Linked DNA regions of Arabidopsis thaliana. The protein of the gene in region 3 interacts with the protein of the main gene of each other region in a pairwise test. Each region holds a gene or a part of one and is shown on either strand. Other genes may lie near its edges. The genes, in order: IAA20, ERF9, NAC094 and IAA34.

Evidence for each region.
Region 1: the proteins of NAC094 (region 3) and IAA20 interact in binary tests that used the Arabidopsis thaliana proteins (3 or more experiments, as listed by UniProt).
Region 2: the proteins of NAC094 (region 3) and ERF9 interact in binary tests that used the Arabidopsis thaliana proteins (3 or more experiments, as listed by UniProt).
Region 4: the proteins of NAC094 (region 3) and IAA34 interact in binary tests that used the Arabidopsis thaliana proteins (3 or more experiments, as listed by UniProt).

What each region holds. Positions count from the first base shown.
Region 1 is NC_003071.7:19,301,877-19,309,571, reverse strand, and holds IAA20 (indole-3-acetic acid inducible 20), read right to left. Parts: upstream 1,859-7,695; 5' UTR 1,712-1,858; coding exon 1,339-1,711; intron 969-1,338; coding exon 872-968; coding exon of another isoform or gene 868-871; exon of another isoform or gene 761-867; coding exon 703-760; 3' UTR 501-702; downstream 1-500. Other genes in the region: AT2G46995 (uncharacterized protein), read left to right, coding at 1-104; ASY3 (asynaptic protein), read left to right, coding at 6,143-7,675.
Region 2 is NC_003076.8:17,802,187-17,809,962, reverse strand, and holds ERF9 (erf domain protein 9), read right to left. Parts: upstream 3,567-7,776; 5' UTR 3,222-3,566; coding exon 2,619-3,221; 3' UTR 2,422-2,618; downstream 1-2,421. Other genes in the region: CBP20 (CAP-binding protein 20), read left to right, coding at 6,088-6,105, 6,312-6,535, 6,620-6,758, 6,847-6,880, 7,015-7,125, 7,461-7,526, 7,615-7,721.
Region 3 is NC_003076.8:15,936,642-15,944,444, forward strand, and holds NAC094 (NAC domain containing protein 94), read right to left. Parts: upstream 3,950-7,803; 5' UTR 3,851-3,949; coding exon 3,652-3,850; intron 3,563-3,651; coding exon 3,222-3,562; intron 3,133-3,221; coding exon 2,659-3,132; 3' UTR 2,469-2,658; downstream 1-2,468. Other genes in the region: AT5G39800 (Mitochondrial ribosomal protein L27), read left to right, coding at 227-295; AGL98 (AGAMOUS-like 98), read right to left, coding at 637-1,266, 1,344-1,703; DEG8 (Trypsin family protein with PDZ domain-containing protein), read left to right, coding at 6,242-6,375, 6,654-6,781, 7,081-7,166, 7,250-7,348, 7,438-7,504, 7,602-7,677, 7,771-7,803.
Region 4 is NC_003070.9:5,179,489-5,187,553, forward strand, and holds IAA34 (indole-3-acetic acid inducible 34), read right to left. Parts: upstream 3,926-8,065; 5' UTR 3,756-3,925; coding exon 3,669-3,755; intron 3,542-3,668; exon of another isoform or gene 3,520-3,541; coding exon 3,366-3,519; intron 3,258-3,365; coding exon 3,117-3,257; intron 3,017-3,116; coding exon 2,908-3,016; intron 2,835-2,907; coding exon 2,768-2,834; 3' UTR 2,503-2,767; downstream 1-2,502. Other genes in the region: AT1G15030 (hypothetical protein (DUF789)), read left to right, coding at 136-365; GAT1_2.1 (Class I glutamine amidotransferase-like superfamily protein), read right to left, coding at 550-816, 907-1,827; AT1G15060 (alpha/beta hydrolase family protein), read right to left, coding at 4,565-4,624, 4,741-4,841, 5,103-5,273, 5,475-5,649, 5,753-5,853, 5,931-6,033, 6,121-6,795, 6,927-7,004 and 1 more. UniProt on the Arabidopsis thaliana protein: Aux/IAA proteins are short-lived transcriptional factors that function as repressors of early auxin response genes at low auxin concentrations.

The DNA.
Region 1 (7,695 bases), on a different chromosome or scaffold from region 3:
TAGAAGCGATTTGCTCCGTCTCGGTCTCTGTTTTGCTTGATCCGGAAGCTATGATTGGAATAAACAGAAACCCTATATTTTGCGTAAGCCGAATACTTTTGTGAGTTTTAAGTTGCATTATTTATAGATGGGATCGAACTTGGGCTTAATCAAAGGAGAAGGCCCATTTATTTCCAAAACACAAAGTAGGAAATATCAGGTGGGAATTTGTTGTTTCCCCTGCCTCCTTCCTTGTATATATCAAATGTACATTGTGGTCAAATCGATAATCAAATCCAAAAATTCTTCGAAAATTTAGAAGTTGTCTCTCGACATTAATTTGTCGCTTGGTTTTCTTGACTACTAGTATTTTCTGAAACTGGACTACATCCTATTTGACAAACAAAAGAAAGTACATCCTATAATTTTATTTATAAAAGCATTCAACTAATTATATAAATTCAAATATCCAATGACCAATGGTCTGACTGGTTTAATGCACTGAAACATGATTGTCGATCGGATAATTGTTTTTTCCTTTTTTTACTATTTTTTTGTGTACTACCGAGAATAATCAGAGTGAGTTCAAGATTTATGTACTATCTATCACAAAAGAAAAATGAAAATAATATTATAAATATCCGACCATTGATTTACATCAGGCAAAAACTTTTTTCTTGGCATTACTTCGATTTAAACACAACAAGTACGTAGACTTATATATCAGTAGTGGTAATTAGCTCTTGAAATCTTCAGTCTTCTCACAGTAGACAAGAACATCCTGCAAAAAATCAACCCACAAATTAAAAATATATATAAGGATGATCATATAGTTAATTTTCTGCATAATTAACAATCTAATTATACAAAAAAGGATGAAAAGAGTGCTTACTCCCAAGGAACATCTCCAACCATCATCCAGTCACCTTCCTTATCTGCGTACGTTAGCACGTGACTCTTCTCATTGCACATGTCTTCTTCTTCAGCCCCTATATATTTCCATTTTTTCAATTCCCATCAGTTTTCATCATTTTTACAATTTACCCATTACACAGTACTTACACACTGCGCAATATATAAACTCTACCTACGGAATAATAACTCTGACATATAACGTTATCCAGATTTTTTTTTTGACAAACAAACAAACAACCTATGAAATAGTGATGGGCGATTATTACGGCGATATTAACCTTCAAACAAAAGAATAGTAATGAGCGGAAGTATTTTTTCATTCCGTAAAAAAAAAAAAAAAATCAAAACGGACTTATAAGAAAGAAAAAAATATCGTTAGAAATTTGCTACCTCTAAGACATATAAATCATTCTGATATGACATTATGTATACATAGAAACTTACAGAGAATGGATGCGTTGAACATGAAATCAAGGGTTCTGATCAAGTCGCGGTAGCCATTAAGAGACATTAGATCGATCTTTCTTCCAATTGGAACTCCTTCCATGTTCACTTTCACGTAAAAGCTCCCTACACTGTTACACTCATTCTCTTCTTCCTCCTCCACAGCCGCCACATATTCCGCATCCTCTACCGCCGGAGCTGCAACGGAGTACCCATAGCCACCGTTGAAATATTGAGTCCCTGAGGATGTCCCGAAGCTGAGTCCGAGTCTCAGGTCCGTGCTTAGGTTTCGAGTACTTGACGAAGCACCGAATGGGTTGCTCTTGCTGCTACTCTCTATTGAAGAAGACGATGAACTTCTCCCTCTTCCCATATCTCTAGCTCTCTCTCTCTCTCTCTATCCTTTTTATAATAATTTTAGGTTAAGACAAATGAGTAATGAGCCGCCATGCTTGGTTTGTACGTGTGTGTTTATATAGAAGATAAAACTAGGACTTGTTTTTATTTTATTTTAAATTTGATATGGTCTTAATTCGTATTTTTGTTCAAAGTTCACACAAATAAAAAGCGACGGTGGAATGATGAGACAGCGTCCGCTAAAAATGTTGTTAGTGTAGCAGACCAAAACACGTGTCAAACGATGATTCGATCAAAGTGTTGGTTATGATTTTGTGGGTTCGGTTTCTCGCTAGTTAATGTTTGATATCTAACCCCAAAAAATAAATATATACATTTAGCTGTTTTGATGATATGAAGTAGTATTAAAGTTAATATTGAGAAATTACATCTTCTTAATCGTGTTCAATGCATGAAAGGTTATCGTGACGCGCATTGAGGCGTTTGTGGAACTACATTACTTCCCACATTTCCAAAATTAATGTGTTTTCATATGACCTCGATACAATTAACACTTTAATCAAACAAATTATTTTCGGAAAGTGTTTGGGTAAATGCTTGCTTAGTAATCGGATTAACACTTCTTTCTTAAGTTAATTAGGTATAGTTCTTTACTTCTGTTTAACAAAAGTTATGACGAAAGTTACGATGTGGAGTTGTGGACCCATCATATGTATGCAAGCATGACAAATGTTTGAGCCTACGATGATTCAAGTCCAAGTCATTATTAACCATAAAACAATGCGATTTAGTTCCACCAGATGATTTGAATAATCAAAACCCCCAATAAGTAAGTCTTAGACCGATTTTATTTCATGTAAAAAGAAGATAAATCTCATTTTTGTTTCTTTACAATTACGTTTATTCGAAGCTTAGACATAAAAAAAAATTAGTCAACTACTAAACAAGTTGTATCAGCGCTGCCATAATCGGTCTAAAACGGACTATTCCAAACCGGTAAAAAGTGCCTATATAATGATGTAAATCATACGTAATATATTTGCGAAAGAGAAGTTGTTAGACGTAATAATAACTAAATAAATAGAGAAAATTTGAAAATTGAAAAGAAAAAAAAAAGCGAAGGAAGAGAGGGGGCATGAGTAATGAATGGTTCACCTTAAAGAGAGGACCTAATGAGAGTTCCTTTGTCTATGGAACTTAAGGAGACGTCACATTTCTCATATTTGCAAGCACGAGAAAAAGGAAACACACACACTCACGACACAACGACCAACGACTATATTTCTTGTCATTACCCACGTGGCATTTTTGTTTCCACGTGGACTCCCTCAACCACAACATGTACATTGTACAATGGATGCGTGCCTTATGGTAAAATTATATAATTTCATTGAAAATATAATATAAGAATCAAATTTTAATGGATGTGTGCTTCGTGACGAAACTAATTTCATTTCAATTCATCAAACTTCGTTATTATAATTTCATCCTTCACAAAATAACACAACGTGCAAGCATAGTGTAGCTTGGTTTGGATTGAACCATGTAAGCAATTAGAGACATATACGCACTAGAGTTGAAACCGGCTTGGTTCCCTCGCTTAATTCAGGTTTCGATATTTCAGTTTGGAAAAAATGTACTAATTAGTTGGAACCAATTGAGTTTTAGAGAAATATTGAAGAAACAAAAAAAAAATCAAGAGAAAAAGGATAAAGGAGAGATGTTCCCTAACAACACTACAAATTACAATTTCCTCACTTTCTTATTTTCTTACTGCCTCCGCCTCCTCTCTGTCCCCTCTTTTCTTCCATTATTTTCATTTGCATCTTCTCTTTATTTCTTTGCAACTTTAATCTTATGATATGTAAATTGTAAATATACTCATTTTTTTCTATATTGAATAAAAAAACTTTTGTTAGAAAAAGATACACATATACGATATTTCCTCAAAAATAATATGAAGTACTGATTTTGGCAGTCATTATAGAATTGCATTTTATTGGAAAGATACACACATAGTTCAAGTACTTTATATATGCGCTAATTTTGAGAACTCCACTTTACTGCGTCGTGGTTGCTTGTCAGTCAAAACTTGGGCTTGCTTTTAAGATGCGTGATTGCATTTGCATGTCTCGTGGCTTTCTTTTTCTGTAGCCCCTCTTGTTGGACTAATCATAGCCTTTTGTTTCCTCCCTTTGCTTTAACATTACTGAAATTATCGGATTGTTTCTTTCATTTGTTGATTGGATGTATGTTTACATTATTACATGTGTATTCATTGTTATAATATACAAGTTTTAAAACATTACTTCCCCTACCAAATAATTTCAAATATATATATATATATATATATATATTCATGAAGCATTTTTTATTTTATTTTGGTTTAATGAAGCATTAAATTTTGAACTTGCTTATGTTACTTTTATGATATTGGAAGAAGTCGAATTATTTCTTCGTTGATATCGTATATAAAATTTAAAACTCATAGAATTTCTATTCAAAAAGTAATTGGTGATTAAATGAATGGAGTGCCTATATATGTATTTTTTTTTTCTTGCAATCAATTTTGATTTAGAATTTGCATGCATGATATTTTTTTAATATTTTTTTATCCTTTAATAATTTTTTTTTATATTATCTAAAGTTGTATTTGTATTCCTTACATAAAGTTTGGTTACTTTCATCTCTAAGGTAAACTGCTAATATTAAAGAAAGTAATTTAATGGAAGCAAAAAGTGTTAAAATATGTAATATAATTTGAATGGAAGAGTAGCCCCCGAGGGCAATCAAGTGGAGGTCTTCCATGGTTAGGATGCAGAAGCTTAATACGTTTATATAGATAGATAAACAATAGCCTCCATAAAGTAAAAGATACTTGCATGCGTGCGTGTAGGTATTGAGTCGAGATGTTACGTGCGTGTCTTTTTATAGATACTATATATTATTGGTTCTTCTAAATCCTTAAAAATGTTAAGATTACGCACGCAATTCATGAATTGTATATAGATTTACCAAATCTTGAATTGATTTTAAATTTCTTACAAAGCAAATACACTGGTAGTGTGACATTTTGTCCCTGTGGATTCTGTATGACGTAATCTCGTTCCTCACATTATGACACTTAATCGAGTGTTTTTTTTTCCCTATCATTTTTTTTGTAAATTTATCCTCTACAAATTATGTATGTTTGTGAACTATTAAATACGATGTTGATATATATATATATATATATATAAACTATATAATAAATAAGTGAATTATTTTACGAGTATGGATCATAAATAAAACATGGAATAACAATAGAATGTTTGTTAAATAGAACTCAAATTAATGATCAGTTATGTACAGTCCGGCCTTAGGCCCAGGCACTACCCACTTGGGCCGGGCCTGGTTATGTAGCATATATATAAACGCTAGTCACCGGGATAGTTGGACTTGGATGGCTCTAGCCTGACCCGTCAAAGTTTAACGGAAACTTGACATATGCAAAGACCGTCTCCGTTTGAACTTTGAAGCGATTGAAATTTTTTGAGAGGCGAATTAAGGCGCCAAAATTTTGAGAATGATAAGTAGATTACGACACATGTACTCACCTCAATCTGACGGTTACGATGCAATGTAAATACGAAGAAATCTCAGGGTTAAAATCGTCCAAATGTTCGGCGTCGTGTATACGCAATTCAGCTACAGACAGTGTTTGTTACACACCATTTTGAGAAATCTAAATTTTCATTTTCCCCCGCTTCTCTCCTAGAAATTTCGAATTTCTGCTTCTCTCTCTCTCTATCAGTTTTCTCAGATCTTATTCCAGTTAATATTCCGGCGATCTTCTTTCTCTCTTTGATCACTTAATTCTTCACCGGAATCAGAGAGTCAGGGCTTTCGCACTTGTACCCGCGAGCTTTGATTAGGTAATTTCTTAGCCAATGATACCATCGCTCGATTTTCTCTGTTTTCGTTTTCGATTCATGGCTCGTTACTCTCATATTCAGTGATAAGTCGTCGCGATCTATGCCCCCTTTCGTTAAATTGGTGTTATCGTCTCGATTTTGAGTTTAGTACCAGCGTTATAGTGTTGTCTTTGCATAATCGGAGAGTTTTGGTATGAAATTCGTTGCTAGAGATATCACATCTCGCTAGTTGTTCATCGTTTCAAGCATCTATTATCTGCTGCTTCTCTTGTTTTCGTCATATTATCCAGATCTAGCACCTTCTTATTTTGGGATTTTCTATTACCAAATTTTTTATCCGAGTGTTAGAAATTTACCATTCCTAATGATTAATTTATCATCCATTATCGCTGAATATAGCCTGCGTTGTACTGCTTTACTTCTCTGTTTGTGTTGCTATTCAGAAATTATATGAGTGATTAGGTGTTCGTTGATATTTACATTCTTTTTCCCAGCAGAATTGTTAACCTTGTGGTGATACATTTCAGGAAAAGATGAGCGACTATAGAAGCTTCGGCAGTAACTACCATCCATCAAGTCAATCTAGAAAGATTTCTATAGGAGTTATGGCTGATTCACAACCGAAAAGGAATCTTGTGCCAGATAAGGATGATGGAGATGTTATTGCTAGAGTAGAAAAGTTGAAATCAGCCACCGTAACTGAATTACAGGCGAACAAGAAAGAGAAAAGTGATTTAGCTGCCAAGCAAAGGAATTCAGCTCAGGTCACAGGACATGTGACCTCACCTTGGAGGTCTCCGAGATCGTCTCATCGGAAATTAGGGACTCTTGAGAGTGTTCTTTGTAAGCAAACATCTAGTTTGTCTGGTAGCAAAGGATTAAACAAGGGACTTAATGGAGCACATCAGACACCAGCTCGTGAATCATTTCAAAACTGTCCCATTTCGAGTCCTCAGCACAGTCTTGGTGAGCTGAATGGTGGCAGGAACGATAGAGTGATGGATAGGAGTCCAGAGAGGATGGAAGAACCTCCATCTGCAGTCTTGCAGCAAAAGGTTGCCTCACAGAGAGAGAAGATGGATAAGCCAGGGAAGGAGACAAATGGAACTACTGATGTTTTGAGATCAAAACTGTGGGAGATATTGGGAAAAGCTTCACCAGCAAATAATGAAGATGTGAACTCTGAGACCCCAGAAGTTGAGAAGACCAACTTCAAGTTGAGTCAAGACAAGGGTTCAAATGATGATCCTCTTATTAAGCCTAGACACAATTCAGATTCTATCGAAACTGATTCTGAAAGCCCTGAAAATGCTACCAGAAGGCCAGTAACCAGATCTTTGTTGCAGAGGAGGGTAGGAGCCAAAGGTGTCCAGAAGAAAACCAAAGCTGGTGCCAACTTAGGTCGCAAGTGCACAGAACAAGTAAATAGTGTATTTTCTTTTGAGGAAGGTTTGCGCGGAAAAATTGGCACTGCTGTGAATTCCAGTGTTATGCCAAAGAAACAAAGGGGTAGAAGAAAAAACACTGTTGTAAAATGCCGTAAGGCTCATTCTCGAAAAAAGGATGAAGCTGATTGGAGTCGGAAGGAGGCGAGCAAGAGCAATACTCCACCACGTTCTGAAAGCACAGAAACTGGCAAAAGATCTTCATCTTCAGACAAAAAGGGAAGTTCCCATGACCTTCATCCACAGAGCAAAGCCCGGAAACAGAAACCAGATATTAGCACAAGGGAAGGAGATTTTCATCCATCGCCAGAAGCTGAGGCAGCAGCTCTGCCAGAGATGTCCCAGGGATTATCTAAAAATGGCGATAAACATGAACGGCCGAGTAATATTTTCAGGGAAAAGTCTGTTGAGCCAGAAAACGAATTCCAGAGTCCAACCTTTGGATATAAAGCACCAATCTCAAGTCCTTCCCCATGTTGTTCTCCAGAAGCATCTCCTTTGCAACCTAGGAATATTAGTCCCACATTAGATGAGACGGAAACACCAATATTTAGCTTCGGTACTAAGAAAACCTCTCAAGGGACAACAGGCCAAGCGTCAGATACAGAAAAGAGATTGCCTGTAACCTTCATAAACTGAAG
Region 2 (7,776 bases), 1.9 Mb from region 3:
CGACGAACAATGTGATCTCCTTATTTTTAGCTCATAGTGTTCTAAAAGTATCTTTCCAAATCTCTCTAACAAATGGGAAATTTAGGAGAATGCACATGATGCACAAACAGTTTCATGCACCTCCATCGGCAACACAAAAGGAACTATTATAGACTTAAATAAACTAATAACATAAAGGGTGTACCAATAGCAACTAACGACACTGTAATTTATTTGGTAATCTAGTTACTAATAATCTAATATAGATAGACTCATGAATATCTCTTGTTTGAAAAAAAAATCCACTTCAAAAGTTAAATAGAAAATCCTGAATAATTAGGCACAAGGTTCAAATTATTTTTGAGCCGGTCCTGCCTAGATTATACCTAAAATCGGTAAAAATTGAAATATACAGTATCATCTTTTCATGTTTATTATCAACACAACTACACGATTAAAAAAAAAAAAAAAAAAAAAAAAACAGATCTTATACCAATCTGCCATTATTTGGTAAGGATGAACGGTCTTGTTGACAGGAGAAAAACTATGAGAGAAAAAACAAATATATTTTCTTATAAAACAAAAAGTGGTTCGATATCAGATCATTTGTTAATTTTTGTTTGAATGTAAAAGTAAGTACAGATGATCCTTCTTCGCATTCAAGGCTTTTGTATGTCCATGCATGCATTGTCGAAACTACGAAAAGTCAATGGTTGAAAAGTGTCAAAAAAAGGTCAAGTGTGAATGCTCAAGATTGTTGTTAAATGTCGTAAGTTTGTAACCGTCAGTGAATTACGAAAATGACTTAATGCCTTGACTTGATAGTTACTTAATAAAATACTAAAATCAAAGCATTAAGACAACGACGCACGCAAGGCTCGTGAGCAGACCAACACGCGGTGAGACATGGTTGGAGCTGCTGTTTCAGGCAATGGCCAAAATTGTATGAACTTAAGCGCGAGGCGGTGAGATCACGTGGTCTATGTTTTGTCGGTGAGTGACACGCGATAATGAAGTGCGTGAGAAAATAGTTAGAATGAACGCTCCGCAGAATCTGCCGACTAATTGTAGGAGCCACACATATATCTGCTTACCGGACCTTAATTTGAGTCCCACACCCACTTCGGCGACTTATCCAATGCATGATATAGAATTTGTTTGGATCTTTCCTTATATAATTGATTGTTATAATAAAAATGTGTATTAAAGTTTCTGATATAAAGATGGGATTGACTTTTAGGCTTTGTTAATTAACGGGTTAGAGGGTTATAAATCTGATAGCTGTGATGGTTTTTGGTTTTATAATATACTCATTCCAATAAAAACTAATGTAATTAAACAATTTATAGATAATTAGATAGAACGCTAATCAGCTCTAAGTTTATAGATGGCTACGCTACTTCGACTAATATCTGCATATAAGAATTATTGATCTTACGTGATTTATCTGCAGTCAATTTAAAGTTTTTGTCTTAATTCTAGTGTTTCTTGCTTTCTGTGGTTTGTTGGTGAAGTGTGTTAGTAGTTCTATTTGAGTCCTATGGTCGTGTTGGATTTTTATTTTCATCCATATTGGTTTGTTATTTGCTTATCTTTGGTGCCTGGTCTATTCGGATTTATTGGTGGTTCCGACATTTAGATATTCTATAGGGGAACCTTTATGAAAATCTCTCTAACTTTTGTTCAATAGTGTTTAGATGCGATCCTTTTTAGTACTTATGATTTTTTTTCAACAAAATTAATTACATCTCAAAAGAGTTATTACTAACATATAATATAATTTTATCTCTTTATTTAATTTTTATCAGCGGTATATATATTTCATCTTTTTATTAATAAAATTTTAGATGACAAAAATAAAACCAAAACATAATAATTAGACGTAAGAAAGCCACCCTAGCCAAAATATGTTTGTGGTTTAAAAAAATTGAAAGCATAGGAACAAAACAGATTATGGACGGCTAAAGCACACGTGCCTCCCACCTGACACTCATGCCATCATCCCCATCTACACGAAACTCGAAGATTGGACTCATGATGCTACCACTCTACTTTTCAAATACATTTTAAAAAAAAACTCATAACTCACTACAGTTTTTTTACTTTTGAATTTAATTTTCTTCCTACACAATTCATAGATGAAAAAAGAATTTTACATGTCTAATTTATAAACCAAACCATGAAACCATAATTCAATATAATGAGAAAACTAATGAAAACGATAACTACTTTTTTGTGTCATGATCATCCGATTTTTTTATTTTTATTTTTGGGTACTCTCCTATACTAAATTGTTTGATGTTGACAGACCATCTAAATGTTCGATGTTTCTTGGTTTCATATTCCACATCCATTTAATGGAGTGATATCTACTACCTATTTGATACATCAACCAACCATCATGTCATTTTAAGACATTTAAGAAAAAACATCAAAAGTAGAAAAAAAATATCAAAAGGAGATATTTGATTAGTAATTAATTACATCCACGTAATTAGGGAACCATAGGAGATTTCTGAAAAAAAATTCCTCTTACTTAGCCAAAAACATAGGAGATTTTTCTTTTTCTCATCTACTAAAGAAAACATTAATTATTTTCCGGCAATGTAAAATACAAATTATGAAAAGAAGAAAAAAATCTAAACGTCCACCACCGGTGGAGCTAGGTTAAGATCCAGGTTTAGTTCTCTTCTCGGTTCAACTTTTACGGTTTCTCGAATACCAATACTCAACTCGATATTAACCGGATCAAACCGAACCGGACAAACCCGAGAAAGCTCTGCTCTTAACGAAGCAGCTCTTGACGGATCGAAGAAAAAACCAGCAGAAGCATAACCACCGACGACTTTACGCTCCCGGTGACATGCAAACGGAAATCTCTGACGCGTCATCTCACGCGCCGTCGTCACCGTCGTACGGTTGACGTAAGAATCGTTCTCGCCACCGTCGTTAACCGTAGTAGACTCTCCGGGAAGAGGGAAATTAGTCTTTGCTTTGGAGCCACGAAACTCTCTAGCGGCGGTGTCGTAAGCTCTTGCAGCTTCCTCCGCCGTGTCGAATGTCCCGAGCCAAACCCGGGTTTTCTTTCCCGGGTCACGGATCTCCGCCGCGTATCTACCCCATGGACGCTTCCTCACACCTCTAAAGTGCACTTCCTTCCGCATCGTCGTCATCGTCATCGTCTTCCCTCCGCCGCCTTCACTCACGGCAATGCTTCTACCGTTCGCCTGTCTTGGAGCCATTGCTTATAAAAGAAGAGATATATTCTCGTTTAGATAGAGAAGTGACGTTGTTTTTGGTTTAATTTATAAAGGAAAAGGTTTTTGGTTTAGAGAAAGAGAAAGAGACGGTCAACGAGGGTTTGACTGAAAAGCGCCGCCCAAAAAACAGACAATGTGAGAGGTTTTAATGTTTTTGTGACGGCTTTTTGCCTTAACGTCCCGTTACTGCGGCGTGACTTTGCGTAATTTGATTGCTTGATCTCACGCTCCTTCATTAATCTACATGACTACCACGCTCTCTAACGATTAAATGAGTTTTACATTAATATGAATTTCCAAGCCTTATTTTAGTACCCACCAATATGAATAGCCTTTTTTTTTTTTTTTTGTCGGCCCAATATGAATAGCTAATAGCCACGGTTCTATACTTCTATGTTGACAATGTTGTCATTTAAATTTTGTATAGAGATATATTTATGTACAATGTTTCGAATGAAATATGTAGTAGGTGATTTAGATATATGGTTTGATAATATGTGAGTAGGTAAATGTGTCAATATCTTTTTTTAATAAATGGTTAGCAGCTTAAGAATCCAGTTTATTTTAAGAATCCAATTTGTATCAACTTAATTATCATTATATGACATATCATATTGCAAAAAGTTTTTTCTTTTTTTTTGAATCTATTGCTAAAAGATTTTGATTTGTTATTTAGATACATGGCATACAGGTTGATACACAATTTTATTTACTTTGGGAGATTTCGTTGATTTCCTGTTTTAAGAAATCAACAACAATCAACTTTATTGATGAACATTGTTTTTTTTTTTTTTTGAATAAAATGTCAAATTATATTTAAAAGAAAAAATATACTTTTTACATCAGCTTTTTTGATATTTTGATAATAAGAGAAATAGAGCTAGATCAAAAACAGAGTAAATAGAATTGAGAGAGCAAAAACAGAGTCTTCTTTCTTAGAGGATGCTATGGACGCATGTCAAACCATACTTGCAGCCCCTTCTCGAGTCGAAGATCCCCTTTCTTTTTGATTGTCGATAGCTGGTTTCTAATAGTCTTGTCTATCTGTCGGATGAGGTTTGAAGCTGAACGTGACTTCTCTCCGTGACGACGAGAATTTCTCTCCCTCCAAATGGAATGAATAGAGACTTGGAATGTGTACCTGGATAAGAAACTTTGGATGCGATCAGGCTGAGAATCAGATATGTAATTCACCACAGCAGACCATTTTGTGGAAAATCTATCTTTGTACACATTCTTTGCGATTGATGTCCAGATTTCAGAAGAATAGCAGCATTGGATATTGATGAACATTGTTGTGTAACAGCTGTAGAGGATTTCATATATGTAATATATGTTATAGTTAACTCATTTAACTCGATAAATAAAACAAATTTAGAATTATATTAACTTTTATTGAATAAGTATTTTACTTTAACACATGAATAATGGATACGTCTAACGTTATTGTCAAATGTTAATCCACACAAAAGTCACAATTTTTTTGATCCTACAACATAACACAAAAAAAGAGAAAAAATGGTATTTGAATCCCGTTACGTTACAGATACACGTATGTATGTTAGAGTATCTTCAGTGAATCTCTCAAAAATGAGTATTGGAGTAATAAAAAGTGATCTGGAGGGAACACCATAGTAGATTATGAAGCTTCAACACAGATTTAACGAGAGCTTTAACTTCGAAAATGAGTCACCTAAACCACCGCTTACAACAACGAGAAATAACTATTTCTATGTCTCCTCAGCAAAGTTCCTTATATGATTTTCTTGTCCTTAAAGAGGTATTTTCTTAAAACATTACTTTGAAGATATCTTCATAGGCAAAAATCTAGAAATTAGAAATAAAGGATGTTTAAAAATATAAAATTTAAGGTTTGCTAATGCTGAACTGTGAAATTAAAACCAACAACCACAACAAACCAAACCGGAATATCATTTAAACCAAATTAAAACTAAAGGGCGTTCAGTATTCGGATCGAATATTTCGAGTTTGTGTATTTCAGATTTAGAAGTTTAAGACCCGTTCGGGTATTTTAAAATTTTAAACCGTTCGAGTTCAGGTTTATTTAAATATTAAAATATCAAAATTTTGTATGTAAATTTATCAAATTACTTGAAAATTTCAAAAACTCTCAAAACAACACGAATAGTTTTACTTTAATATATCCAAAGTAACCTAAAATACACAAAATAACTAAAATATCCAAATATCCAAATATTTTCTGTATTTAAGTATGAATATAAATAATATATCAAATATTTGAGGTATGTTTGGATATTTGTTCAGATCGGGTTTGGGTTAGAGTTTTTCGGGTTTTGAAGTTTAGGACCCGTTGAATATTTGAAATTTTTGGATTTGGATCAGGGTTTTCGGTCGGGTTTGGGTTGGTTCGTAGGGTTCGATTATTATGTCGAGACCTAACTAAATTGAATTACAAATTGGTTTTATGGTTTAAACAAATAAAGCGAAACCGAAATAATTGAACCGAAACCAAACCGGAATTGTTATTTGATTGAACATTTTAGATGCAAAAAATTTGGGTTTTTTATTTGTTTTAATATTAAATTAATACCAACAATAATATTTGTGAATTAATTGTAACTTTGTAAGGTTTCGTAAGGTGGGCCATGAAACCGGATACTCGAGAGTCGCCGGAGTGTCCTTGCCTTCTTCTATCAGTTCTGCTTCTGCTTTAGAAATTAGGGTTCCCTTTTTGAAGAAGACGAGTGTAAGTGTCTCTCCTTCTCGATTTCTCGCTCATCTTCTTCTTCTTTCACCCCGCATAGACCTAATTTAAGCTATCCTCCTCTCTCATCATCGCAGATTCACTTCTTCTCACCGTGAAGCGATGGCTTCTTTGTTCAAGGTACATAAAGTTTAGATTTTTATCGGAAACCATTTCTGGGTTTTGCTTTTTCTAGCATAGAAAATCGAGATTCGTTAATGTTTTTAGTGAATTTAGTATCCGGGTTGTCTGGAATCTGATGGGTCTGAAGCGATTCTAATTGATTTTTGAAGTTGTTGTCTAGGGTTTGGTCTCACGATTTCATGTTTGGGGTTTTTGATTGTCAGGAGCAAGCAAAGCTATCAGCTTATCGTGATAGAAGATTTTCAGGAACACAAGAGGAGTTTGATGAAGCGCTAAGAGCATCTACAACGGTTTACATTGGCAATGTGTCTTTTTACACTACTGAAGAACAGCTTTACGAGCTTTTCTCTAGAGCTGGAGAAATCAAAAAGATCATCATGGGTTTGGATAAGAACACTAAAACACCTTGTGGCTTTTGTTTCGTCCTGTAAGCTTTCATCTTCAACAGTTTTATATGTAAGTTTCATTATGGTGGTTGCTGAGTTTTGGTTTTGTGTCTTGTTTTTATCAGGTTCTACTCTAGAGAGGATACTGAAGATGCAGTCAAGTATATAAGTGGGACTATTCTCGATGACCGGCCTATTCGTGTGGATTTTGATTGGGGATTCCAAGAAGGAAGACAATGGGGCCGTGGTAGAAGCGGTGGCCAGGTATTCATCAGATGCATCATCCTCTCTGTAATTCCCTGACCGTTTCTTTACAATTAAAAGGTCATCATGGTTTTCTAATTTCATACAGGTTCGTGATGAATACCGTACAGATTACGATCCTGATATCCTTTTAGTCCGCATAGTTATGCACTCTGTTGTTCTTGTTTAGTATACCTGTTTTGTGGTAGGAAAGATTGATTTCTCGGTTATGAATTTCCCGCCAATCCATGTGTTTTTTCCTTAACTCATTGATTACCTAGAGGTGGTTATGGGAAATTAGTTCAGAAGGAACTCGAAGCACAAAGGCAGCTCGTGGATTACGGTACTGGCTCATTGGGAGCTTATCCTCAAGCTGCGCCAACGAATTGTATGTTTTTTTCAACTTTCTACCAAATTTACTTGATCTTATTCCTGGTTTCATGATTTCGCACTATACTGTGGACAAATGGTGAACTAAAAGTACCATGAATGCGAGTCTTAAGTTGCTTTACTTAGAATTGTAGTGCTCAGAATAAGACTCTTTATCTTGCAAAGCATCTGCTTATTGTTTTCCCAGTTCCCTTTCGAATAGATAGTGAAAATGTGAAACAAGATATGGTCCTAGTGTTAAGTATCTTATTCAAGTCAAATTATGTGAGAATCCGTAAATAGAGCCTGCAAAACACTAGATTCCTAAATGCTTTTTGCATATGTTAATCACAGATGGAAATGGAAGGCGTGGTGGTGGAAACTATGGTCAAGGAGGACAAAATCGCCATGGAAGAGGAGGTATTTTTATCCCAAATGACATAATGCGTAGTAATAGTGTAATCCTCAGCCACAATAGCACAATTCACTGTTTTTAATGTTTTTGCAGACTACCATCGGAAACGACAAAGAGACGATGATCGCTATGGCCGCGATAACTCAAGAAGAAACACAGATCATGAGTCTAGGAGAGACACTGATAGTGACATGAGACCGGTAAATAACAAGGCCTTTTTCTTTTTCCTTACTAAACGTTTCGAGTATATTTAGT
Region 3 (7,803 bases):
TACCTTGCATCTTAATTGAAACTTGAGAACCAAACATTAGTGAGAAATCTTCTTACAAGTCTTGTTGGTAGAATCTCCTTAGGTTCATCCTGATAATTATCTTGGTTTGTTCTTGTTGTAAGGTTTTTGAGTTAGGGACCTGAAATGGGAATGCTTACTTAATTACATTAACCTTTGTTGTGTGATTTAGCTGCTCTGCTGATGTATATCTATTTGGATTTTACAGCTGAAACCATATGTATCTCAATGCCCGATACAAGTCAACACAAACGAGTCAACTGAAGCTTCCAAGTGAAAAATAGTCAGTCAGAAGATATATATGTTTTTAAGTCTTCTTCATAAAGCTTTAAGTTATGATTATGTTCTTCTATTGTCCGTAATCCTTATGTGCTATTCTTAAAATGGGAGATTTGGTTTGATATTTTCACGAAACGATATGCAAAGTAATTGGTAACATGTTTATGCAGTGGAATATATATTCACTTGATAAATTGGATGTTCACATAGTAAAATAGCTTGATACAAGAAAACATTATGCGTTATGCAATACTTAGCAAAATAAACATCAACAACATATTAAAATTCTTACGAGAAGATGAAAAAACAGTCTCACACTCTCTTGAATGAGCTTTGTTATCAGAGAAACATCGAGTTGTCGATAAGAAGGTTGTTGTTGGTAATATCACTCGTAAACAGGTTCTGATCATAACCACAAGGAACATGCGGCATCAACCCATAGTTGTTGTTCACAGATTCTTGTACCGCAGGAGCAGAGTGATCTTGTGTGTTTGAGACAAAAGAATGTTGGAAGTTGTTGTTGTTCATAAACATGTTCTGATCATAATTACAAAGCTCCTGTTGCATCAAGCCAGATTCTTCTTGTAGTAAGGCTGAGAACTCTTGATTGAAATTTGATGCAGAGAGTGGGATTTGAGAGAGCGTAGCATCTCCATTGTTACTCATGCACATGTTCTGCTCATAACCACAAACCTCCTGCTTCATTATCTGACTCTTCAACTCAGATTGTTCAAGTAACGCTGAGAAATAATCCTGATTGAAATTTGATGCAGAGACTGGGATCTGAGACAGAATATTATCTCCATGGTTATACATAAACAGCGAAAACTGGCTAGGGTTCAAAGATTGGGTCTGATTATTCAGAGAGGATGATGCTAAACTCTGATGATCCGGTTTTGTCTCCTTATGTTTCTGCGACTCAACAAAACGAATCCTTTCTCGGACTTTAGAGACATGAGGTTCTAAGGACTGAATCAGTTGAGAAATTTGGTCAGGAGAGTAATGATCAGCAATTGGATACTTTAAAACATTCACGTTCTTCAGACAAGTCTTTTCAAGTCGTTGTCCTTTATCTTTGCTTTCTTCTCCAAGTTCGTCTTGTTCTTCTTCTTGTTCAGGAAGTCATAAAGAGTAACGCTCTTCTTGCGTCTCAAGGCTTCGTTTAGTTGACTATACCTGAGAGCAATGTCTTCCACTTTCTCTCGCTCCGGAGGCCATGTCTTGAGTTCTCCGTCTGGTCCGTAATAGATGACGCATGCTTCGATATCACAGAGAGTGCAAAGCTCTGAAGCTTTCCTGAAGATGGTCTCAAGTCTATTGCTCAAACTTGTTGAAGCGAGTGAATAAGAAGAAGACGAAGAGGAATTGGAACAGCCTGAGGAAGAAGGTAAAGATCGAATGGCCATCTTCTTGTTGATTTCGAAGACAATCTCTCTATTTTTTGTTTCACGTTCAAAGTGAAGAGAAAGCACGAAGACGAATGAAATTGAGAGAGTGAAACTACGAATTAGGTTTAGGAAACCCTAAGAAGATGATGAAGAATATGAAAGTCAGAGACAACTTTGTGAAATAGCGATATACTTATAGAAAATTTGGTCCTTAAAGTTAGATTTTTTATTTTTTTTTCACTCTTCTAATCGGTAAAACAAAGCTTGTGAAGATTTGATTTCCATATCTTTTGCATAGATTTGTGTAATTTAGCCGTTAAGGACTGATAAAAAGGAAATAGTTTTTTTTTTCTACTCTCACTCTCTTTTAATTAATAAGATCTATAAAAAAGAAAGATTTGCTTGTCCATATATATTTCAGATACCCTTTGTATCATTATGTAAATAGCTCTTAATTAATAATATAATTATTGGATTTGCTAAAAATTTGTGACAATACAATCTAACAAAAATCGACCAAAATACATCCATTTTAAATAAAATTTAGAACCCTCCATTAAAAAATGAGAAATATAATTTATAACTCCGTGTACCTTTTTAATCCATTACTTTGCCATTATTGACATAAATAAAAGATTTTGCAAATTCATATTTTCTTTACTTATTTTCAAAAAAAAAAAAGAAAGCATTGTATCCTCTTCATAAAGAATATGAAATATGGCTCTGAAAAATCCAAAAAAACTAGTGTCATTCAAGAATGAGACTTAATGATTAATATAAAAAGCCATTACAATTATCTATACCAAATTAAGGAGAAGTTGCATGTTCGAAGCAAGTCTTTGTTTTTTTCTTTTTCTTTTCGGCCTTCAAGAAACCAAAAGAGAAGCAACGTTTATAGTAAGACAAGAAAAATTAATACATATTAGCGATGATCAACGTCTACACTAATTCAAGTGTTAATAGTACTATGATCTTAATTGTTAGTGGAATACGACGTCGCCGACATCTCACTCCCCGTAGTCTCCTCCATCACCATTGATCTTACATTCGGAACCTCATGAGTCAACCCTCCAGTCAAGTTGTTGAAGTAGTTATTCTCATTGTTGCTCAGAACCAGAGCATCCCCTGTTCCATTGTTTCTCAGAAACAGAGCATCCCCTGTTCCGTTGTTTCTGGCTGTATTGTACGTGACTCCGAGCATCTGAGACGCGAAGTAAGAAGCAGCTGATTCTGTGAAGCTTGCGGGTTCGTTGACTGGAGAAGGAATAAAGTTTTGTCTTGTTGATATGTGGCTGAGAACGTCTGATGAAGCTAAGAGAGTTGCGGTGTTGTTGTGTGACTGTTGATTGTTGTCAGGAATCGTTGGATAAACCCAAGATTGTGGGATTGATCTTTGTGAGGATACTGCATTTGTCTTCTTAAATATTCTACATATCGCCCAAGCATCCTACAAAATGAAAAAGATCGATTCTAATTTGTTTGGTAACCTAACCTTTGTTGCGGGTAAAGCAAGTTAGGGCAAATCCGATAACTTACGTTTGAAGGAAGCTCCTTGCTGTTGTTGTTATTGTTAAGGTGTTGCTTCTTGTTATTGTAATTGGGATATGATGAGTGATGAGAGTCAGAGAGAGAAGGGAGACGAAATTCATGCATCATCCAATCGGTTTTGACTCCTTTAGCAGCTCGACCACGGTAGAACACAAGTGATTTCTTCAAACCGATGCATCGAGTGGAGTCCAATGAGTATATAGGCCGGTCTGTTCCGGTTGCTTTCCAGAAGCCACCTCCAGTTACTCGGTTAGGTCTTGTGCTGTTGCGGTATTTCCTGTCTCTAGGACAATAAAAGTACCACTCTTTTTCCCCCATCGCTGCAAGCTCTTTTTAAACATTGATTTAAGAAAATGCATAATCAAATATTTTGTTTCCATATATTTGGAGAATTAAAAGTTAGAGTTTTGTGGCTTACTTGGGAGGTCCCATGGATCGTATTTGTAAATGTCGACTTTCTTGATGAGATCAAAGGGAAGAGATTTGTGTAAAACCTTCCGTTTCAAGTAGAAACTTACGAGTTCTTCATCAGTGGGATGGAACCTAAACCCTGGCAATACGACGTCGTCATATCTTTCAACGTTGTTACTCTCTTCATCATCCATAACTAGAACCATTAACACACACAGAATTAGTACTTTTGGGATACCAAAATTTGATGAAGAGAAACAGAGAGATTTATAGAGATAGAGAGAGTAAGTTTGGGGAAGAAGGAAGAAGTTTCTTAGAGAAGAAGAAATGGGTTCATAGGGAAACGATAATTGGACCAGAAAGTGATGCGTAGGTATAAGACCAATGTCTCTTGAATAAGAGGAGATTTATACAAGAAAGATATTATGAATCTTGAATTTTGCCGTTAAAATTATTATTTTTCTTATGAGAAGATTCAAACTTCAAGGTTATTGCGTACTTCGTGAAATCGAGGCTACGGACGAGTCGAACAATATAGGAAAAGTTATACTTACATTACGTATGTGGTTTATCTTTAGGAAAATATGATATGGAAACGTTTTTCTTCCTTTGTTTCGATATCTTATAGATGCATTCTACCAAAAAAAATCTAACTATATGGTTAATGACTTAATGATGATACGACTTTGACCGACTAATGTCAAACGTTTTTCTAGAGTAGAATCTATATGGGATCCAATCTCTATATCTATAAGTCTATAAGTAAAAGTCTTATAAATTAAGATTGATATTTGAAAGTTGTGGTGCTTAAGCAAAGGGTCGTTGTAGTTTTAGTTATAGCCGTAAATAAAGTAATGTTCTTTTACGTAAATTATGAAATCTCAAATTCGCGATTCCCTAAAATTAATTTATTCCTTCCTTCTTCCACATTTATTTATAGTTTCATACTTTTATATATATTATTGTAACATATAAGAAAAGTAAAATCCATGGTAAGTCAATATAGGCATTGGTAAAATCGAAGGCATTGCTTAAGGTTGCTATATATGTCTCCAAGTTTGAGACATGTAAAAACATAATGTATACGTAGAATAGAAATGAAGATCTCGTGGTAAAAAAAAAAAAAAAAAACAAGATGAACCAAAAAACAATTCAAGATGAGAGAAGTCCAAAAAATGGCCTAGGTTTTTTAACCCACGCAACACAAGTTGGGAAGTTTGGTCAATAGCCTTTAACCTAAGCTTTCTATTTCTCTTTATATGTAAAACATTAAAGTTGTCAACAACCATCCTCTTGGAATATCTATTAATGCTGTGAAAATCCAAGTTTTTGCTTTAATGCTTTGAACGGTTTGTGCTTTAAAACCGATACATCAAACCATCTATCTCCGAGACTAAACCCTAGGGAGCATGTATCGGACATGCTCGTCGTCCTCAAAGGAAGAGGATGATGGAGGTACACTTGCCTCTCGGCTGGTACAACACTCGCTCGCAAGGTTCGATTAATAGCTCCTCCAAAGTGGTCTGCTCAACCTAGAAAAGAGAATTGAAGGAGACATTTTAATTTAGTGAGATAAAAAAAGTAAATTGTGAACCTGAAATAAAGAAGTGGAGATGTTTCATAAACCTTGATAACACTTTTGAAAGAGACCTTGCACAAGACAATCACATTGTGGTCCACCTAAACAAAAAAACAAAGTATACATGGTAAGACAAGAGTCCAACAATGAAGAGGAATTTGGAAAATCAAGAAGCAAACCTACAGTTTTCTTTTTGTTTCAAACTTTTAAAAGCATAATTCCTTCATCTTCCACTCAGGCCTCACATCGTTTGATTCACTCTTAGGACCTAAACTGAATGACGTCTTTAGCCCAATGCATATTTGCTGTTCTTCTCGATTAACACTTTTGGATCGCGGCGTGACACCCATTTCCCGATAGAAGTGCTGTTCCCTATGAATCCAAACTAAAATCCGAATATCTAGGCCTAGATAGCGATATGTTTTTCTGGTCTGCTCAACGCATTTTCATATTTCAAACTGCTGGTCAATGTTTAATTTATGTATAAAATAATCACATGTGAAGTTGATGTATAAAACTGTCACAATTTGAAAGTTGGAGTATTAAATGACATTTTTCTCATTTCGATTATGGTGAAACGACGTTGTATTGGAAACTAAAAGAGACTAGTTAACGGATGTTATCGGATCTGTTAGCGGTAGATAACGTCGTGTGTATTTTGGCATGATCAACAAATAATTTTGTATGAAATGGTGCCCGATCAACGTATTTTTATATATTAAATGGCCATATACGAAGTTCACATATTTAAAATAATTACTTTTTAAAATTTCGCGTATAAAATGCAATATTTCTTAATAAAAAAATAAATATCTGCTTTTTTGGGTTTTTTCACAACAAAATAACACATATAAAATAAATAAATCATTTATTTTCTAAATTACTAGAGAGGGCATTTCGGTATTTCAAGTATCTTCTTCTTCCTAAGCTACACAAAAAATTATCTAAGATTCTTAATTTTATCCAGGTTTTTGCCAAATCGACTGGTCTCAGAGTTTTCTCGATTTTTTTTGGAAAGATGCAGGTAATAGCATCTTTCTGTTCGAAACCTAATGAGAATGAATTTGTTGGTCGACGACAACTTCTTTCTTCAGTCTGTTCCAAAATTTCTCAAGGCGACGTCGTTTCACACCCACCCGTTTCTTCTGTCAAGTAAGCATTTTAGCTTCTTCCATTGCCCCAAATTTTGCTGAAAATTTGTTCCTTTGATTTGGGTTGCTCAAAGATTATGTCTTTTCCTGATGGGCTTTAGGTTACTAAGAATGGTGTTATGTGTGAATCAACGTTAGTGAAAAATCACCGTAAAGCTTTTAACTTTTGGAACAATCTTTTGGAGAAACTTCTCATTTTGAATCAGACATTAAGATTTGTTGATTTCTTGGAGAATTTTGATGTTTATGTTACTTTTTGACTGTTTGATTATTCGATAGGGTTACTCAAGATTGGAAGTCGAATTTACATGAGTTAGCTGTGAAAAGTGTCCCTTCGACGACAAGGAGAATCTTGTTGACAAGTTTATTCATGAATTTGTGCTTTAATCCTTCAAGGTACTTATCAGGTCTGCACCTTGTTCAGCTATTTGCTTTTCTTCTAACGCTTTGTTTACACAAATCTGATGAGGAATATATCTTGTTTAAGAAGCTTAATTGTGACAATCAGAGCCTTTAGTTCCTAGCTGGTGATGATTCAAAGTTAGTTTAAAGGATTTTGCAATACTAGTGGTAGAGTTCTGAAGCTCCTTGAACTAGTCTAACCTCTTCATTAACACTTATAGTAAGCTTATAATAAGATGGTTTTCATTGATCCATTAGTGATAGAATTTGATAATTGAGTATGCTCCGTGATGTATTACTACAGCCTTAGCACTTGGTGATCCATCCGTTGCAACCGTTGAAGATGTTAGTCCAACTGTTTTCCCAGCTGGACCTCTTTTCCCTACTGAGGTTTGTCTCTTTAGCGAAAGTACTTGTAAGTTTCAGGTTTTGATGGTTATCCTAAAGATTTATATATCTTTTCTATGTTTCAGGGGAGAATTGTGCAACTGTTTGAGAAGAATACTTATTCCGTTGTCAACATCTTTGATGTGACATTACGGCCTCAGCTCAAAATGACGGGTGTGGTTGAGGTACTGATTCGCAGTACTTAAAGAACACCTCTTTTTAATGTCATTATCAATTGTTTTGACTTACGGTTACACTCATAATCTAATTGTAGATACCAGAAGGAAATGGCTCTGGAGTAGTCTGGGACGGACAAGGATACATCGTGACCAATTATCACGGTAAGATGATTTGAATGAAAAGTTATTGAGCTTACAAAGTGCTTGAGATGGGCAAGGACAATATCATAAGTTTTTAGTTGTATCTTCTGCTGAACAGTTATTGGCAATGCCCTTTCAAGAAATCCTAGCCCCGGGGATGTAGTTGGTCGTGTGAATATTCTGGCATCTGATGGGTGAGGTTTTTTATCTGCGGGATGGATTATTTCAGCCGTTTATATAGTCTCTCTAGTTATTTTCATGTCTGCTCGTTTGTGTAAATCTTGAAGGGTACAGAAGAACTTTGAAGGAAAACTTGTTGG
Region 4 (8,065 bases), on a different chromosome or scaffold from region 3:
ATTGTTGATAGTAAGAAACACAAGTTCTTCGTTCTAACCATGACCACATCATCAGAATTTGTATGTTTCAAATGATCCGAGAGTAACAACTTTTTGAGTAAAGATACATGCACTATCTATCTTTGGCTCTTGCAGGTCCAGGCGTTACAACAGGGTCTATGCATGTGGTGCAGCCAAGGGAAAGTGTTGAGAAGATGGAACTGCCTGTCTTTGGTCTCGCCTCATACAAGTTGAGAGGTTCTGTATGGACAAGCTTTGGTGGCTCGGGCCACCAGCTCGCGAACTCTCTCTTCCAAGCCGCAGATAATTGGCTGAGGTTGCGTCAAGTCAACCATCCTGATTTCATCTTCTTCTGCCGCCGGTAATGATAGATTATACTATGATGACGAAAAATGATATAGGAAGTTATAAAAAGGAACTCTTTATGATTACTGTCTTGAGGAAACCTTACATATAGGATACTGTCAAAAGTTTTTCATTTGGTAGCTTCTGTAAATTCACAGAATGCTAGTTTTCTTATTGTGTGTAAAACTGTTTTTGCAATAAAGGCTAATAGTTGAGAAAAAAGGAGGACTCTATGGTCCTATCTGTGTGTTCGGGTTCTAGTAGTTTTCTCTTGATGGCATTGGAGCAAAGACGAGCCATCATATGGTGGAAGGAAAGCATATCAGACAGCCGCTCCGCCGAAAGTTTGTCCATTGCTCTCTCTTGTTCCTCTTTCATTTTCATCCTTTTCATATACACACATGAGTTCCTCACCGTCGCTCCCATCTGCTTCAGCCTATTCTCTTGTTGCTTGCTTAGAACTGTATTAGCCTGCATGATTCATTCAGCCATGTCAGAAAATCCAATATTGAGTGGCAAAACATAGAGCCTGTATGTATGTAAAACAAACGAATCTCTGACCTCTAGAAACTCAGCTTGGGAGAAGCTTTTGACGAGTGTGGTGGTCTTCCTCTTCATCTCAACCTGTGTTGCGTTTACTTGTTTCTTCTGAAATGCGATCACAGCTTTCACAAACTCCTGATAAACTAAAGCGCAGCCTGGATAATCAAACTCATCAGAGCCTGGAAGCCTCATCCTCTCTGGATGAAACTGCAGACCCATCAAGAACTGACCTTCCTTTGGATCATATCGATTCGGATCATAAAATCCTTCAATCAAACCATCAGGAGCATAAGCCATCGGCACAAAACGTTGAGCCAGTCTCTTCACACCTTGATGGTGATACGAGTTCACCATTATCTCCATCTCCTCGAACAACTTATGTAACGGAGTCTCCTCCACGATTCTAGCCTCGTGTCTGTGCCCATCGTAGTTGTCATAATCTATATGATTTGTCGTTGTCATCGTAGTTCCGAGTTCTTTGTCGATGTCTTGGTAAAGAGTTCCACCTGCGGCAACGTTGAGAATCTGAGAGCCACGACAAATGCCTAAGAAAGGAATGTTTCTTTCGAGACAGAGTCTAGCTAGAGTCAGCTCAATGCTGTCTTTCTCTCGGTCGATGGTCATGTCCTCTGCATGCGCCTTCTTAATCTCCTCCATGTCTTCTGGCGAGAGGTCTGATAATTCATCGTCCGCGTAGAGAGAAGGATCGACATCTTCTCCTTCGCAGAGGAGGACACCATGAATAGGCTCGAAGCTCTGGAGCATAGAATGGATCCCATTGACACGTGGGACAATGACAGGGACGGCACCGGAGGAGACGATGAGATCGAGATGGTATTCTCCTACGAAGTCCACGTACTTGTTCTTGCGGAGAGTCCGACGAGAGACGATGAGAACTCTGGGGAGAATCTTGGACGAGAGATCATTGGCGACAACCATTTTTATGTAATAAATAAATCTCTTCTTCTTGTTTTGTCTTGTTTATGTCTTAATCCTCTCTTTCTTAATTGGATGGTTATGTCTTAGTTCTCGTTCTTTATTTATAGATTGGAATGGAGGCGTCGAGGCGCAGCGTCCACTCAAAGCTGACGCACACTTTTTATTATCTGTATACGTTTTTGGTCAAACCTTTCCTATTGCCTATTGGATGCTGAGATGGACTTCTCTGGATATTCCAAATTATTCCTTCTTTTGATTTGGTTATGTTAAACAAAAAAACGTTTTCTTAGTAATAAATGGATATGGATCAGATTAGGTTCTTAGGAGGATTAGATATGAATGGATGACTCATTGACTTGTAACAATATTAAGCATGCAGAGCATATACTGTATATGTCTTTATTTTATACTATATAAATGCATGTCTTTCTGTATTTGGAGGGTGTTGAATTAATTATGGAAATCACGTCATCCTAATCAGCCACCGGTTCAGTCACTCTTACGTGTAAAAGATAACGTCGTAGACTTTCAACAACTCCGTATGAATGAAAATGTAAGAAAAAAGATCGAGGTTGTCGCCGGAGTTGAGCTCTCTTGTCTTCACAAGGCCTTCGATATCCTACTCATTTTTCGTTTATGCGGATTATGAATTGAAAAGTATGAAAGATAAAATGGCAAATTCACCATCGTAATTACACCACTATATCTTAAAACTGGATGGTTCACAATATCTTCGTATCATGGTAAGACGAGAATCCAGACGTAACATATCGGAGCTCTAGTGATCAGGATTTCACCGAAAAAAGTAGTTCGTGGTTCTTTCTTTATTTCGAATATAATCGTATTCAAAGTTACATTTACCTTTTCTCTTTTGTTTCATTTCCGATTCAAGGCTGACTTGGAAATTATAACAAAGAGTGAAGAAAGAGAGAAGCTAATATTAAAAGGGAAGTACAGCATCGTTTCTTCTTGTGATTCTCAGCCGCTCCACGCTTTCTATGAACTCACTGTCATTTACAAATCACAACACATGTAAACGCTTTATTTCAGTAATCTACAAAGAAAGTATCAAGAGCTTACTTCCATGGAACATCCCCAGCATTTCTCCACAGACCTTCTTCGTCTCTGTAGACCAAACAGAACTCAGACTCCATCTGGAACAACCTCAATCCCGACACACTCTGCATCCCTACAGATTGTAATGAACATCCGGTATAAGCCTACTAGGAACATTACTACTTATAGTACTTACTCATCTTTGAATCCCAAGCTTCCCATGAAAAACTTACCAAACATGTCCTCGAGTTGATGAGCAAGAGTTGAATAGCTTCCATGATCAAGAACACAGACCTTGCGACCTACCACCAAACCATCCATGGTGACCTTTACATAACCCCACTTCCGTCTGTATCCTTCATTACTACAATATCCTTTGCCACATGTCATAACTCATAAGTAAACACCGTCTCAGAGTTGAAAAAATTTACCAAGAAATTAAAGGTAATGGAAATACTAATGGAAACGGCAAAGAAACTCACTTTGGCCAGATGAGTGGTAAATCTCATGTTGTATGGTTCTCAGGCTGAGACCTAAATCGATTACGCCACCAAACTCCGTGGTCTGCGAGTAATATGGATGATACTTGGGAGAATTTGGGAAAACACCGAGTGGGTCTGAGTCCATTGTTGGTTTCTATAACAAATACATATTCAGCACATAACAGATACATAGAAAGGTGAGAATGATGTTGATTTATATCAAGCAGCTAAGGCTAAGAGTGTCAGGAGAGTTAAGAGACATCATTGCAGACAGGGAACAAACAAAAGACAAGAACACATTACCTTCCAGGAAAGGATCAGTTTGTGGTCTTTTTGTTGTTTGTCTGATGCCACTAAGTGCAAGGGATGGGGAGGATCGCTGCAATACATCTGGTCAGCCAACACAAAAACCTGAAATTATCGTGAAGTCAGAATTGTACTATACTAATCACAGCAAGCACATCTCTATCTAGTGAAGTGTCTCAATGTTATCAGAGAGTGTTGACAACTCATTGTCTCAAGTCAAAACCTGTAATCACTCAACATCAAACACGTTACAAAAGAAATAGGTAAGTCGTGCTAGAGAATTCTGTACCATAGAGAATCCAACGAATTAATTTATGGACAAAGAAAGAGAAGAACTAGGTATGGTCTTACATGATGGTGGAGAGACAATATCTTTCATGAAAGAGAGCTCTGTTGTTTAATACTAGACAATTCAGATCTATCATTACATCATGTATCCCACACATTATCTGAGAAGTAGGGCTGTGTCATTAATGGATCTAAGACAGAAAATGTACACATAAATCCATGTCTATACAATTGCTCTCATGGATAACTCAAGTCCTCCAAAAGAAGCAAAGCAGTACAAGAGAACACACCAGTTCTTCTAAAGATAAATGTTCAAATAAAAAGCTCGTTGCCATAACAAAACAAGGGAAATCATCACAGTAGACAAGAGCTTCCAGCATCTCATTCGATGCTTTTCCTAATTTACAGGTGTATGACTTGAAAAAACTGCATCCTAAGCTCATGTACAGTTTGCCCAGATACTAAATGTACGTGTCTTAAACGGAAATGGCATCCTTTTTAACAGGCGCTTCTGAAACACACTTCTTCGACACCACCTTAGTGCGACGTCTACAATCTACATGTGCTATAGCATGCAAGGAACAGAAACTCCCGAAATGTTTCACTTATGCGGAATCATGGTGGCTAAGAAATTCAGTTATGCAAGGATAGACTTGCTCCACTGCCTGCAGTAAGTTGTCAGAGAAACGATTAACAAACGAAACAAGCATGCACATGATACAGCATTGAACAAAGTTCCAACATAGGAGGAGACCTAGAAATGACTGGGGAACAAACATACCAGTCGTCCTCCAACCAAATCATAGTGTGCATAATGTGGTCCATCTGGTTCTCCAAGTAACTTATAAGTGACCAAGTTCTCCGGAAACAGCTTAACAGTGTCTGCCATATTCACAAGCATTTGTAATTAGTCATAATGGTGAAAATGCATGTGTGAGTAGCTTAAAAATTTATTTGGTGTGTGTGGAAAGTATCACAAAAGTTAATCCATCTACGCCTTATACAGCCTCTCATAACTCGAAAGAATTCAGTAACAGCAATGTAGAATTTAAAATGAAATGCATATCTGGGTAAATGAATGGTTTCATGTATATGCTAGAGTCATCTATGCAGAATTTCATAATAAACATTATGTTAGTATACCTTCCACAGCCGCAGGGGGGCAGATCAAGTCCCGATCACCTGCAAGAGCTAAGACAGGGACACTGGTTCTGGGAAGATGATCCTTATAGTAAAATTTACCACTACGATCACGTAAGCCTCCCTCTCGAAAGGCCGTTGTCAGCTGAATAAGTAGTTTTGCAGGTATGGTACCTAGATGTAAGAAAACAAAGAAACTCTTGAAAATCACCATAAAGGGAGCAATTACGGATTGCAAAAAAAGTCATGGTACATTCAAGCATCTAATAGTAACTGTTCCAGCATTTTCTTTTTCTTAATGAAGATACGTTTCTTTTCCACTTAAAATACATTAAGAACTCACATACTTAAATGGGATCAACTGTTTTTACTTACAGAAGTTATTCAAGACAAGCTTTTCTAACATTTCAGGGTGCATCATATCTGTTGATGATATCAAATCATTAAGCCAAGATAATACATATGGAGGACGTGTCGAAAGAGGAAAAGCGGCAGCCAACAAAGCACCCAGAGGAACAACTGGAACACTCAGAGCTTCTGCAGGATTGGCCTGTAAAAGAAGTATCTAGTAAATTAGCTACCAAAGATATTTATGGCACATCAATTCTTGTCAAAGATTCCTGCGCAGAGTGATATAACATAACGACACGTACAAGAGGTATGAGCAATTTGAGTGCAGAATTTGAGGTTGTGTAATCAACCGATGATGCCAGAGTTGCCACAGCTGCCACGGAAGGTTCTCGTCCTTCAAAAGCTAACAAAATAATAGAGAAGAAATGAATTTCGGCCTTAATATATGAGCCTCTGTTTGAAAGATGAATACTAACTTACCACAACGTGATAGCATTGCATAGAGTAGGATACCCCCCATGGAGTGCCCAATTGCGAATAGTTTGCCGTCCTTGGGCTTGCTTTGTGCTCTTACATACTCAATCTATAGCAAACCAAAGACGGACACCCAATTCAAACAAAATTCAGACACGATTATGCGAAGTATTCAGCAAGATCAACATTGCCTCACCGCAGCAGGGACATCCTCTTCCAGGTAGTGATCAAAATCCCAGTCATATTTAACTATCAAATCCAGTTGCTTCTGAAAATCTTCTATGGTCGCAGTGAGGCGCTCTTGTAAATCAATCAGCGGAGGCGAGACAGACCTTTGACCATCGTCGAAAAGATTCACAAGGCGCTGAGCCAAATCTCTGACTTGGTTAACAAGTCCTGAGTTTTGCTTTGACTCTATCAAACTCAAAAGCTTCGATCTTATATCATTAAAGCGCTCGTACAGCTGTGTATCATCTACAAGCATTGCAATTTTGTCAAACAACTTAGCAGACATGAACACAGACTGACCTTCACTGAGAAAGCCAGAAAGTCTTTCTGACAAACTCATGAAAGTTGATGTCAATCTCGCCACAAGCTGTGACTCGTCCCAAGCCGATGCTTCGCCAACAACTGAAACATCCGACGCTGGTGCAGGTGCACTACTGTCCATAATATCAGTAGTCTGCTTTTCATCAGAACAAGTTTCTTTACCTGCAGCAGCTCTAGCAGTAGATTCTATCTGATTCGACAATTCATGAGCAGATTCCTCAACGTCCTTAAGATCAGATACTCGTGTACTCAATCCAGCTCCACGAACCTCGAGAATCCAAGTCTCAAATCCCTGTCCAGACATATGCCTTGCAAAAGAGCACTGCAATGACATCAACGAAGATTTACTTGACATTGATCAACAATAAATCTACTTCCTCATCTAAAGATACACTAGTACAATGTAGATCTTGATGATAAAGATTGACATTAAAAACGATGAAGGTAACATACACCAGGAGATAAATCATATCCGATGGCATTAGTTCCTACTCCAGACAACAGTAACAATGGATGATTCCTCGTCGGAGCCTAAGAGAAGAGAGAAAATTCTTGATCACAAAAAAAAATATATAATCCAAATTGCAGATACAGAGAAAGGTGATTGTTGAAATTCGAAAACCTGAGGAGGAGGCAAGTAGCGCCAGAGAGCGAGACGCCAATCGGTGTTAGGAACGGAGACGTAATGAAGCTCGTCGGCGGTGCAAAGAGAAGGTTTCGTGGGGAGCTTAACAGAGGAAGAAGAGAAAGCTCTCGGTCGTAACAACGTCGTTCGGTGACGAAACGAAGGAGTAGTAGTGACGGTGCTGATGGAACGGTGGAGATAGACGGTGGAGGAAGCCCGGCGAAGAGCTGAGCGGATCTCCAAGGGAAATTGTGGAGGCATGGTGGACATGGTACGGACTCTGGCAGATTTGGAAAAAAACAATGGTGGCTCGGTTTCACTCCGGCGTGTTTTTAAGGATCTTCATTCATTTTCCGGTACACGTGGAGAGACGACCAGTGATGTTGATGATTGACGAAGACGTGACTTTCTTATTTTGACCGCAAATATTTTGGGCCAGTGATATTGCAAAAGCCCAAATTTACAGTGAGAGTTTTTTTTTTTGTTTCTCTGGCCTTTGGTTGTGCGTTGAAGACAAGGAAGGTATTAGTGTAAAGCAAATTTTGTCCAATCATCTTGATTTGGAATTTAAGATGTGTTATCTCAAAAAAATATCAACAAAACCAGATTATATATCACTGATAATGAAACTAAATTTATAATGTATCTAACTAAATAGCTAAAAATGTTAATATAATAAGCTATCATCTTAATTATTTAAATTAAATTTACTAATATACTAAGCGAGTTAGTGAGAAATATAAAGTCAGATTTGATCTAATCATCATATTATTTGTACATTTAGTACTTTTCTTATCTCACTAAATTTAGGAAATATTGATCTAAAATTGAATTTAAAAAAGAAACCAAAAATAAAAACTTTCAATTAAATATAATATTTTTTGTGGTTAGTTTTGATGTTTTCTTTTACAATTTTATATAGTTGATTTCTTTCCTGATATTTTTGAACAACTGATTTTTAACAGAT